Caenorhabditis elegans: one gene and its partner. The protein of the gene in region 1 interacts with the protein of each later gene in a pairwise test. Each region holds a gene or a part of one and is shown on either strand. Other genes may lie near its edges. The genes, in order: cat-4 and fut-8.

The links.
Region 2: the proteins of cat-4 (region 1) and fut-8 interact in a two-hybrid assay, tested with the Caenorhabditis elegans proteins (one large-scale study listed by BioGRID).

The regions. Positions count from the first base shown.
Region 1 is NC_003283.11:10,562,749-10,567,081, forward strand, and holds cat-4 (GTP cyclohydrolase 1), read left to right. Parts: upstream 1-2,131; 5' UTR 2,132-2,165; coding exon 2,166-2,328; intron 2,329-2,895; coding exon 2,896-2,991; intron 2,992-3,038; coding exon 3,039-3,236; intron 3,237-3,294; coding exon 3,295-3,509; 3' UTR 3,510-3,691; downstream 3,692-4,333. Other genes in the region: vps-54 (Vacuolar protein sorting-associated protein 54), read right to left, coding at 3,907-4,009, 4,056-4,333. UniProt on the Caenorhabditis elegans protein: Involved in serotonin and dopamine biosynthesis that affects movement, mating behavior, foraging behavior, and cell migration.
Region 2 is NC_003283.11:5,986,265-5,991,979, reverse strand, and holds fut-8 (Alpha-(1,6)-fucosyltransferase), read left to right. Parts: upstream 1-1,727; 5' UTR 1,728-1,749; coding exon 1,750-1,837; intron 1,838-1,908; coding exon 1,909-2,035; intron 2,036-2,534; coding exon 2,535-3,023; intron 3,024-3,074; coding exon 3,075-3,144; intron 3,145-3,208; coding exon 3,209-3,288; intron 3,289-3,376; coding exon 3,377-3,467; intron 3,468-3,515; coding exon 3,516-3,941; intron 3,942-4,333; coding exon 4,334-4,433; intron 4,434-4,486; coding exon 4,487-4,695; 3' UTR 4,696-4,909; downstream 4,910-5,715. Other genes in the region: C10F3.7 (DUF7808 domain-containing protein), read left to right, coding at 5,132-5,228, 5,274-5,370. UniProt on the Caenorhabditis elegans protein: Catalyzes the addition of fucose in alpha 1-6 linkage to the first GlcNAc residue, next to the peptide chains in N-glycans. The addition is prevented if the GlcNAc residue is already fucosylated.

The DNA of each region.
Region 1 (4,333 bases):
TTTGGTCTAATAAAGTCAAACTTGCGGTAATAAAAGTTTGAAGTGATTCTTATCAGGAAAATAAATAATTCCAAATCACATAATCCAGTTCATAATCTATTGACTCTTTCAACCGCGCCATTGAACATTCTAGTCTAAAAAATTGTGCAAGATGATGTTCACTAAATCATCACCAGTCAGAAAACCGTATTCCTTAGGACACTCTCTATGTTACTTGTTCTCTATGTTTCTGACGTAATCGCCGTCACTTAATTAATCCCGCAAACTCCTTTTGTGCACGATCTTATCTCAAAGGTGACAATTCAAAGTTCCTGAACCAATTTATCATGCAATGATTATAAACTCCATATAAATTGCGGCTTCAATTGGTAGTACATCATTAGCGGCGGCATTTTGCTTATGCTCTTATCTTATTTATAGTTCAACCTAATAAATTGCGGGGAACTTCCTCTACGAGTGTTACGGTATTATTTGGCAGTACTTTTCAGTAACAACTTTCGATTTTAATTTTTTACTTTTCAAGAATATTGACAATAGCTCAGTTTTTTCAAATAGTTCTTTTTGATTCTCAATCTCTAACTCTGAAGAACCAAAAGTTATGAGAGACTTCGAATAACCCAAAAAATCCTGATCATAACAAAATAGTATTTCAAGTTTTCTTGTTTTCATTCGTCATCACCTCCTCCCAACTTGTACCCAATCAGCCCAGAAATCGCAAATATAAGAAACGATATCTGATGAAAAAGAACTAGAAAACTAGGAAAACATTTACAAGTTCGAAACGCCTCTTCCCTCATCTTCAGCTGATTTTGGAACCGTTCTCGTCATTTCGTGTGAATGTCATCAAAACACATCGAGTCTGCCGGGAAAAAAAAGGCGTGGGTTTGATCTTTCTACTAGCTTTAACTGTTTCAACGAAATTCTTATGTAGGTAGTTAAGTAGAAGAATAGAAGAAAGTGAGTGTACTTCTTTAGACCCCTCAATTCTTTTCATTTTCTTTCTTTACTTTCTCATTTTTCCACCTGATGATGACTTAGAAAGGAAAGTAGTTAAAATTTTACAATTTTTGAAAACCGAAACTGTTGAATGAAATCGTTCCCAAATTTGAGGTCCTACTTTTTTGACATGGTGAAATATTAGAAATTGTATTTTATTTTTGTGGCTGTTGGCAGTATATATGAGAGTTTAACACGGTTTCTGTGTTGTACTAAACTCATTAGTAATTTTTTTGCCAGAATCTAGTTTATTTTTCAGATTGGTTGTTTCGATGAGTAATATTATTAGGTGTGATGAGTTTTAAAAATAGGAGGAGTATATTCTACCACATGTGATCCTATTATTGTTTTTAAATAACTTCCCAGGAGGACCATTTGATGAATTTCGTGAGAAATATATGTGAAGTTTGATAAATTCCAAATTTCGTTTTGAATATAAAGTTTCTCAATTTTTTCGATTGTAGTGCATGAAAGAGTAACTTGTAGATATTAATCTGCCAAAGTTTCGGCAACAAAACTGATAGTGAACTAGAAGTCCACGTGAGTGAAGGTCTATATCATTCCTCGCTGATTTACGATCCTTCTCTCTGTATCTCCTCAGACCAGTCCACTTTTTCTTTTCTTGTTGCGCCTATCCACCTAATCAATCGGTTTCATTTTCTTTTTACATGTTCCTTTTGTTTGCATAAATAAATTATTCTTCCTCCACATTTTCCTGAATACCTAGAAGTGCTGCCATGAAGGAATGGCGGAAAACGATTGATGTATGGGACGACGTCTTCCGTTTCTTTTTCGATTTTTTGCTATTTTCTTATTCTTTTTTTCTCATTTTTTCACATAAGTGGGAAAAGATGATGAAGTCTATCCATTCGACTAGATTGATTTCCTTCTGTCCCTTCATTTTGCCTATTTTTTCCCAGAATACCTTTCATAATACATGACGTGTTGTACCTTTTTTTTTCGTAATTTCTTCTTTCTTGCTTGGACATTGCACATATTCGGTTTCATCCGGCAATTATTTGAATGTCTATCCTTTCTTTTTGTCGCCTACGCTTTCTCAGCTTTCTTAAGATTTACCCACGGCTCATTTTCAATATCACCTTATTTCACTCACTTACTCAATCAATGTTTTCAGGCTTTACCCACTCTATCAACATCATAATATCAAAATGTCCAGAATTGAGAACGAAAGCGGATTTTTGTCATCTGACGCCGCAAGTGTTGGATCCGAAGACGATAAAGTTGAGATGAAGAAAAGAAACGGAACGATTCCAAAGGAAGATCATTTGAAATCAATGTGCAATGCCTATCAGAGCATCATTCAACATGTCGGTGAGTTCATGTGATTCTTTGGTTCGGAAAGTATTAGTCGATCAACAACAAATTTAAAATAAGCTGTTTAAGAATAGATTATAGAGTTCTGAAAACGTACTGTCAACTGTTTACGTCAGCAGAATTAGGAAAACTTTGGTTTCGATAAACATTTCAACACACTTTTTGATTCATTCTAGAGATTATAATGTTTTAGCATTTATTCATTATCAGTGACTCAAAGAATATTGATAAATATTTTCCCAAATATAAATTTGACCAAGATGTTTTGAAAGTCGATGATCTATAACTGATAGTTGTTATTGTCTGGAAGGAAGTTCAGTTCAATATATTCCACTCTCAAATCAAAAATCAAGATCGAAAATTGTTTTAATTTAAAGACTCATGACAAATTGTAATCTATTACATCACGCAATCAAGGTACCCTAGCACATCATCAGGAACTTGTGATTTCAATTGATATATCTATAACATAAATCAGAAAAAAATAGGTTGTGTCCGTTGATTATAAGGGAAAAAATGAAAACAAAATACATTTTCCCACGTTGACTGATTTTGGGAATTCAGGAGAAGACATCAATCGTCAGGGACTTCTGAAAACTCCAGAACGTGCTGCCAAAGCAATGATGGCATTCACAAAGGGATACGATGATCAACTTGATGGTCAGTTATAGCAATACAACGTTAAAGCTCAAAGTTTCATTTTTCAGAGCTCCTCAACGAGGCAGTATTCGACGAGGATCACGATGAGATGGTTATTGTGAAAGATATTGAAATGTTCTCCCTTTGTGAGCATCATTTAGTTCCATTTATGGGAAAAGTTCATATTGGATACATTCCAAACAAGAAGGTTCTTGGTCTGTCCAAGTTGGCAAGAATAGTCGAGATGTTCAGCAGAAGACTTCAAGGTAAATTGAGAAATTACATTTTTGATTGGAACCTAACCTAAACGTTCAAATATTTCAGTCCAAGAACGTCTTACAAAGCAAATTGCCACCGCAATGGTTCAAGCTGTACAACCATCCGGAGTTGCAGTTGTTATTGAAGCTAGTCACATGTGTATGGTAATGAGAGGAGTTCAAAAGATCAATGCTTCCACCACAACATCCTGCATGTTGGGAGTATTCCGTGACGATCCAAAGACTCGCGAAGAATTCCTTAATCTTATCAACAAACGCTAAAAATTCTAGTCATTTCCTTTTTTACTTGTTTTTTTGGGTTTTAACTGTTACTAACTTTTCATAACTTTCCATGTGAATCTACTAACATCTTATGCTTCAGCTTTTTAAATTCATACAACATGTTCATTGCCTGGATACTGTAATATGCTTTTATTGTACATGCAATAAATTACTAAATACCAGATAAATAAAAACAAAAACAATTAACTGGGAAATGAAAGTGATAAAGCTAGCCCAGAAGCACAAACTAAAAAATTAGGAATGAAGGACCAGTGAATTGGGGAAGTTTACAGAAGAAGCGTGAAATAAAAGCCACCGTAATTAGTCAAACAATCACAATCATACACAAGAAATAAACCAGATTGAAAATTAAATAAATATTTTACAAAGAAAAGTCCTATTCAAACATAATGTCATTAAGCGACTCGAGCTCCAAATTACGGCAACTTTCCATGTTTTTCACATTTTGTTGATAAAACATGTAATCTTTTGTGACATATCTGAAAATAGTACATTATAGTTGAAATTTCAGTAATTTATTCTTACCCGTATTTTAAAGGGTCATGAGGTGTGATACCCATTCCAGTGACGTGTTCTCGTAAGTTGGCTTTAAAGTTTTCGTGTACTTGACGGAACAACGCCTCGATCTGATCTCTTGGCATGATGCCAACCAGTCCATTGTGGAATTTCAGCATATGGCGACAAATTTGTTGAAATTCTGGCGATGGAATCACTCCTTTCACATCCCACATTCCAAGACAATTTGTTGTATAATGAGCTATTACACTTATTAATTTGGCAGCAATTTCGTTGACGTGATCGCG
Region 2 (5,715 bases), 4.6 Mb from region 1:
TGCCCTTCAAATCATCAAATGCTCATTGCACATTAACCTTATCAGTACCTATAAAGTTTTGTACTCTTCTTGCAAATGATACCTATTGTTGCCACGTTCAGTGTCCTCTATTTCTCTCTTTTCATAAATGTTTCCATCGACATTTCGATTAGCATACATACATGACGATGAAAAATGAGCCACACTTCCTATTTTCCCATTTCACACACACGCCACGTATCATAAAGTCGCTGTCAATTTTCGTCATGCTCTGGTCCTCACCGCCGACTCGTTTTCTCTTTCCCAAAAATATTGAGAGCCACATTGTCTGCGTCTCTTCGTGCTCCGTCACACTCTATCGATTCAGATTTCGAGAGAAACTGAACAAGAAGAAGAAGAAGAAGAGAGCAAAGTGTGGAGTGTGCGTGTATAGAAGAAGAGGGATGAGATGGGAGAAGCCAACGTAGCGGGTTTCATTCATTACTTATTCAAAGCGGGGGTCTAGGGGACAACTACTCAACACATGTCTTCCGTTTGCTTTTCATTTTCATCAACTGTTTTTAATCGTCACACTTTGTTTACTTTCTGTCCGAGTATTCATTCAAATTAATTTTTCAGATTTTTTAGACATTTTCTTATATAGATTAAACTTTATTGCAAAATTTGAAAAAAAAAAAACTTCCCAACAAAAATAATCCTTCTAGGAAAAACCTAAAATGCTCTAAGAAGTAATAGGTGTTTATACTGAGTTTCTCTGATTTTCAAAGTTTTTTTTTTCAAATATGACCTCCTTAGAAGGATCCCATGGTGGTTCTTAATCAAAAACTAGATGTTTTCAATTTTCTGTTTGGCTCAAAAAATACCAAAAAAGTTTTGATGTACCATTGCTCAAAAATTTTGAAATTTCGGAGGTATTTTGCAAGATTATATTGCCAGGTTGACAACACCCCAGCAATTCCACACCAGGTTCGGTGGTTCCTATAGATTCCCACAAATTGACAAAAATTATACTTCTAGATTATAATCGAAAAAATAAATGTTTGTTGCTTTTTGGTAATGAGATATGGTAAACAACCCTCCAAAAAGTTTACCTGACCTTGATGCACTAATAACATCAAAAAAATGGAAACAACTCTGCTAAAGCGATGTGCACATATTTTTGCAATTTTTAGAAATTTTAGACTTCTGAAATTTCAGAATTTTTCACTCAAAGACTTAAAAAACTTCAACTTAAAAAACACCAAGATATAGGCGGAGCCTCTTTGGAATTTTTTTACATCTTCTCTTACAACTTATCAAACTCAACAAGCACCTCAAAAAGCTTTCCACTTTTTAATTAAATTCTTAATCCAGTTCCAACAGGTGTGTCCTTCATCAATTATTAATCACACGTGAAACCCCCTCACAGCTCGTTGAAATTGGATATCATAAACTGACGAGAAAGAGTCCAAGGTGTCATAATCCACTTTTCTTCCTCTTCTTCCCACTACTCTTCATCATTTTTCGAGTCTTCACAAAAAATTTGGAAGTCCTTGAATTCGATTGCTCCGCCTTTCTTTCTCAATTATTTTTCAAAATCTTAATTCCAAAAAATAACTCACAGTCTGTCGCTCACACAATTCGACACGCCACATAAGTTATTCCTCCCCAGTTTCCTTTTGTTGTTATCCTGTGGTCCTTACTCGACTTAATAATATGTTAGTTCTTACAGTACAAGTTTACTTTTATTTTAAAACAAAAAATTTCAGGAGCATCCCTGCCCGCTCCGAAATGTTAAAATGTATTGCGGCAGTGGGAACAGTTGTATGGATGACTATGTTTTTATTTCTTTATTCACAATTATCAAATAATCAATCAGGTTAGTTCAAATAAAAACTAATAGAGGAAATACGGTGAAATTTGTATTCTGTACTGAATTTTTAGTTTCAGGCGGTGATTCAATTCGAGCCTGGAGGCAGACAAAAGAAGCCATTGACAAGCTTCAAGAGCAAAATGAGGATTTGAAGAGCATTCTGGAAAAAGAAAGACAAGAACGAAATGATCAACACAAAAAGATGTGAGCTTTTATGTTTGAAATTCTGACTACTTGGAATTAAAATCTGATGTCAAGTCACACTAAAAACAAAAATAATCTTTCGTTTCAAAGAAATAAAAAAAGGATTGTCGCTAAAATGATAGGAAATTCTCTTAGAATTGCTTCGAGATTTGTATATATGACTGTACTATTTTTATTAGGAGCTTAGAAGTCTTAAATGAGCTTCTCAAAATTTGTCATCGTCAAAAAAATCTAGTTTGAAATACGAAAATTGAAGCCCATTTGAAAGAATAGATATGCTTAAAAAGTGAAAAATTGTTCAATTCAAACTAAAAGTGAAAAATTTTATTTTTCCAGTTATGGATTGGAAAAAAAAATTAAAAACTGAAAAGTCGAAAAAGGGAACTATTTTAAAACTAGTTTTTTCAAGAAATAAGTCTGAGATGTTCTAAAAATGCTTTCAGTAAAAAGTAAAAAGTTTCAGAAAAATGCATATATATATATATATATATAATTCCAGCATGGAACAATCTCATCAACTCCCACCAAATCCTGAGAACCCATCACTTCCAAAACCTGAACCAGTCAAAGAAATTATTTCAAAACCAAGCATACTTGGACCTGTCCAACAAGAAGTTCAAAAGAGAATGCTCGACGACAGAATTCGGGAAATGTTCTATCTTTTACATAGTCAAACAATTGAAAACTCAACAAAGATACTCCTTGAAACCCAAATGATCTCACTAATGGGACTTTCTGCTCAACTTGAAAAACTCGAGGGTTCCGAAGAAGAACGATTCAAACAAAGAACAGCAATAACTCAACGAATATTCAAATCAATTGAAAAACTTCAAAACCCAAAAGCATGCTCAGAAGCCAAAACCCTGGTGTGCAATCTTGATAAGGAATGTGGATTTGGGTGTCAACTTCATCATGTTACCTATTGTGCAATTACCGCATTTGCTACTCAACGGATGATGGTCTTGAAAAGAGACGGATCTTCGTGGAAGTGAGCTCTTGTCACCTTGTGTCTAAAATTTCAACGCTAAACCATTTCCAGATACTCATCTCATGGATGGACTTCTGTCTTTAAAAAACTTTCAAAATGCTCATTTGATGAAGCAGTTGGGGTATGTATGTTTTGAAATCTCCCTTGGGAAATTTTCAAACAAAAAATGAAATTTTTTCTTGCAGAACACGGAAGCTAAACCGTTTGCTGAGCCATCACCAGCAAGAGTGGTTTCCCTCGGAATTGTGGACTCACTGATCACAAAGTTAGTTTGAACTTGAACAACTACAAATACCAATACCAAAACCAATAATGTCTTTGCAAACTTTTAAGTTACATTCGCCTTGTTACAGACCCACATTCCTACCCCAAGCAGTACCCGAACAACTTCTCGAAAGTCTAACATCACTCCACTCACATCCACCTGCATTCTTTGTTGGAACGGTAGATTAATATTTTTATATTATATCTAAAACTTTCAACAATTTTCAGTTCATTTCCTACCTGATGCGTTTTAACTCTGCAACTCAAGAGAAGCTCGATAAAGCTCTCAAGTCAATTCCACTTGATAAAGGACCAATTGTTGGACTGCAGATCCGAAGAACTGATAAAGTTGGCACGGAAGCAGCATTCCATGCATTGAAGGAATATATGGAATGGACTGAAATTTGGTTTAAAGTTGAGGAAAAGCGACAAGGAAAACCATTGGAAAGGCGAATTTTCATTGCATCAGATGATCCAACTGTAGTACCAGAAGCCAAAAATGACTATCCGAATTATGAAGTTTATGGAAGCACTGAAATTGCAAAGACAGCTCAGTTGAATAATCGATATACAGATGCTTCATTGATGGGAGTCATCACTGATATTTATATACTCAGTAAAGTCAATTATTTGGTTTGCACTTTTTCAAGTCAGGTGAGAAATTTTTTATCTGAAAAAAATAATTGGATAAACGGGTTATTAGTGTGTACTATAATAAAATGTTCAGCTTTCAAGTTATAGTCCATGTACAAATTTTGATCAAAACCGGACCCATAAAACGGAGAATGTTAAATAATTTGAACTCCACATTTCGTTAGGTTGTAATATTTTCTAACTATGTCAGTCTCGGAGTTATTCTGGTTTAAAAATTGGAAATACACCCAAAAAGAGCCAGGCAGTTTCGTAGCTACATATAATTAGCAGGAAGTTTTGTTCACTAGTATTGTACATAGTAAAGCAAATAGACACTCATATACTTTTGACAAACTCAGAGTTTTGATGATTCTCACTAATCCTATGTAAAAGTCCACAAAACAAACTTTCAGGTATGCCGAATGGGCTACGAGTTACGACAACCATCAGGAGCTGACGATGGATCAAAGTTCCATTCACTTGACGATATATACTATTTTGGAGGTCAACAAGGTATGCATATAATAGTTACTGAAACAAAAGTATCTTAGTTTTCATAATTTCAGCTCATGAAGTAATTGTTATCGAAGATCATATTGCTCAGAACAATAAAGAAATCGATTTGAAAGTTGGTGATAAAGTTGGAATTGCTGGAAATCATTGGAATGGATATTCTAAAGGAACAAATCGACAAACGTATAAGGAAGGAGTATTCCCATCATATAAAGTGGTGAATGATTGGAGAAAATTTAAATTCGAAGCTCTTTTAGATTAGGATATATTTTATTTTTATTTTTATTTTCCGTATACTTCCCTTTTAGCTCTTTATTCATGTTTATCAATCTAGTTTTTGTACTTTTTATCGGGTTTATATTGACACCATCGTTATTCATTGCGGTTTTTCATTGGCAAATTTCTGTGATTATATTAAGCCACATCCGTTTATTGTTGTATTTTCTGTTGTTGAATTTGCAATATTTTTTTAAAAGAAACAATTTGAAAATTGTTGAAATGGGTGAGACGATCTTTCTTTCTATTTATGAATATATAATAAATGGTGAGATGTTTTTCTAGATAAAGTGAAATTTTTGGGTCGTCTGCTTAATATACAATCTGCCTAATATGTACACAAAAACCCGTTTTCAAAAGAAACACTGGGCTAAACTTTGATTAGTATAAAAGGAGTGTCCATTGACTGAATCTTAGAGATCATGAAACTTCTTCTAGTATTACTTATTAGCTCTTCAGTTGTCGTTGGACAACAAGTGGAAACACAGAAACCAGACGATTTCCTTTGGAATCGATGGGGTAAGTATATGAACGGTAGAGAAATCTGAAATAATTGCTTTGTAGAACCAAGAACAATTGATTGTGTGAGCAGTGGAAAGAAAGATGACTGTGTTCTTCTCGCACCAAACTCAAGAATTCCATTTGACATCACCAAATTTAAGTGAGTTTAAATTCAAGTGGGAGGATAATAAAATAATACAAAAATTTTCAAATTAATTAAAAATGTATCAAAACAAAGTTTTGATAATTTATTTACTTACTTACTTACTTTAGTAAATAAAAAGTTTTGGTAAATTGCCAAATTTTCAATTTTCTTGAAAATTTGGCAATTTTGAAACTTTTTTCGCATTTTCGCACCAAATGCTTAAATATAAATATCTTGAACATAATTAAAATACAAATTTTATATGAAAAAGTTAATTTTTTAATCGGCTTTTTAATTTATGATTGGCGAAGACTGAGTTGCCACCTTTGACTGTAAATGAAAAACTTAACAAATTTTTCC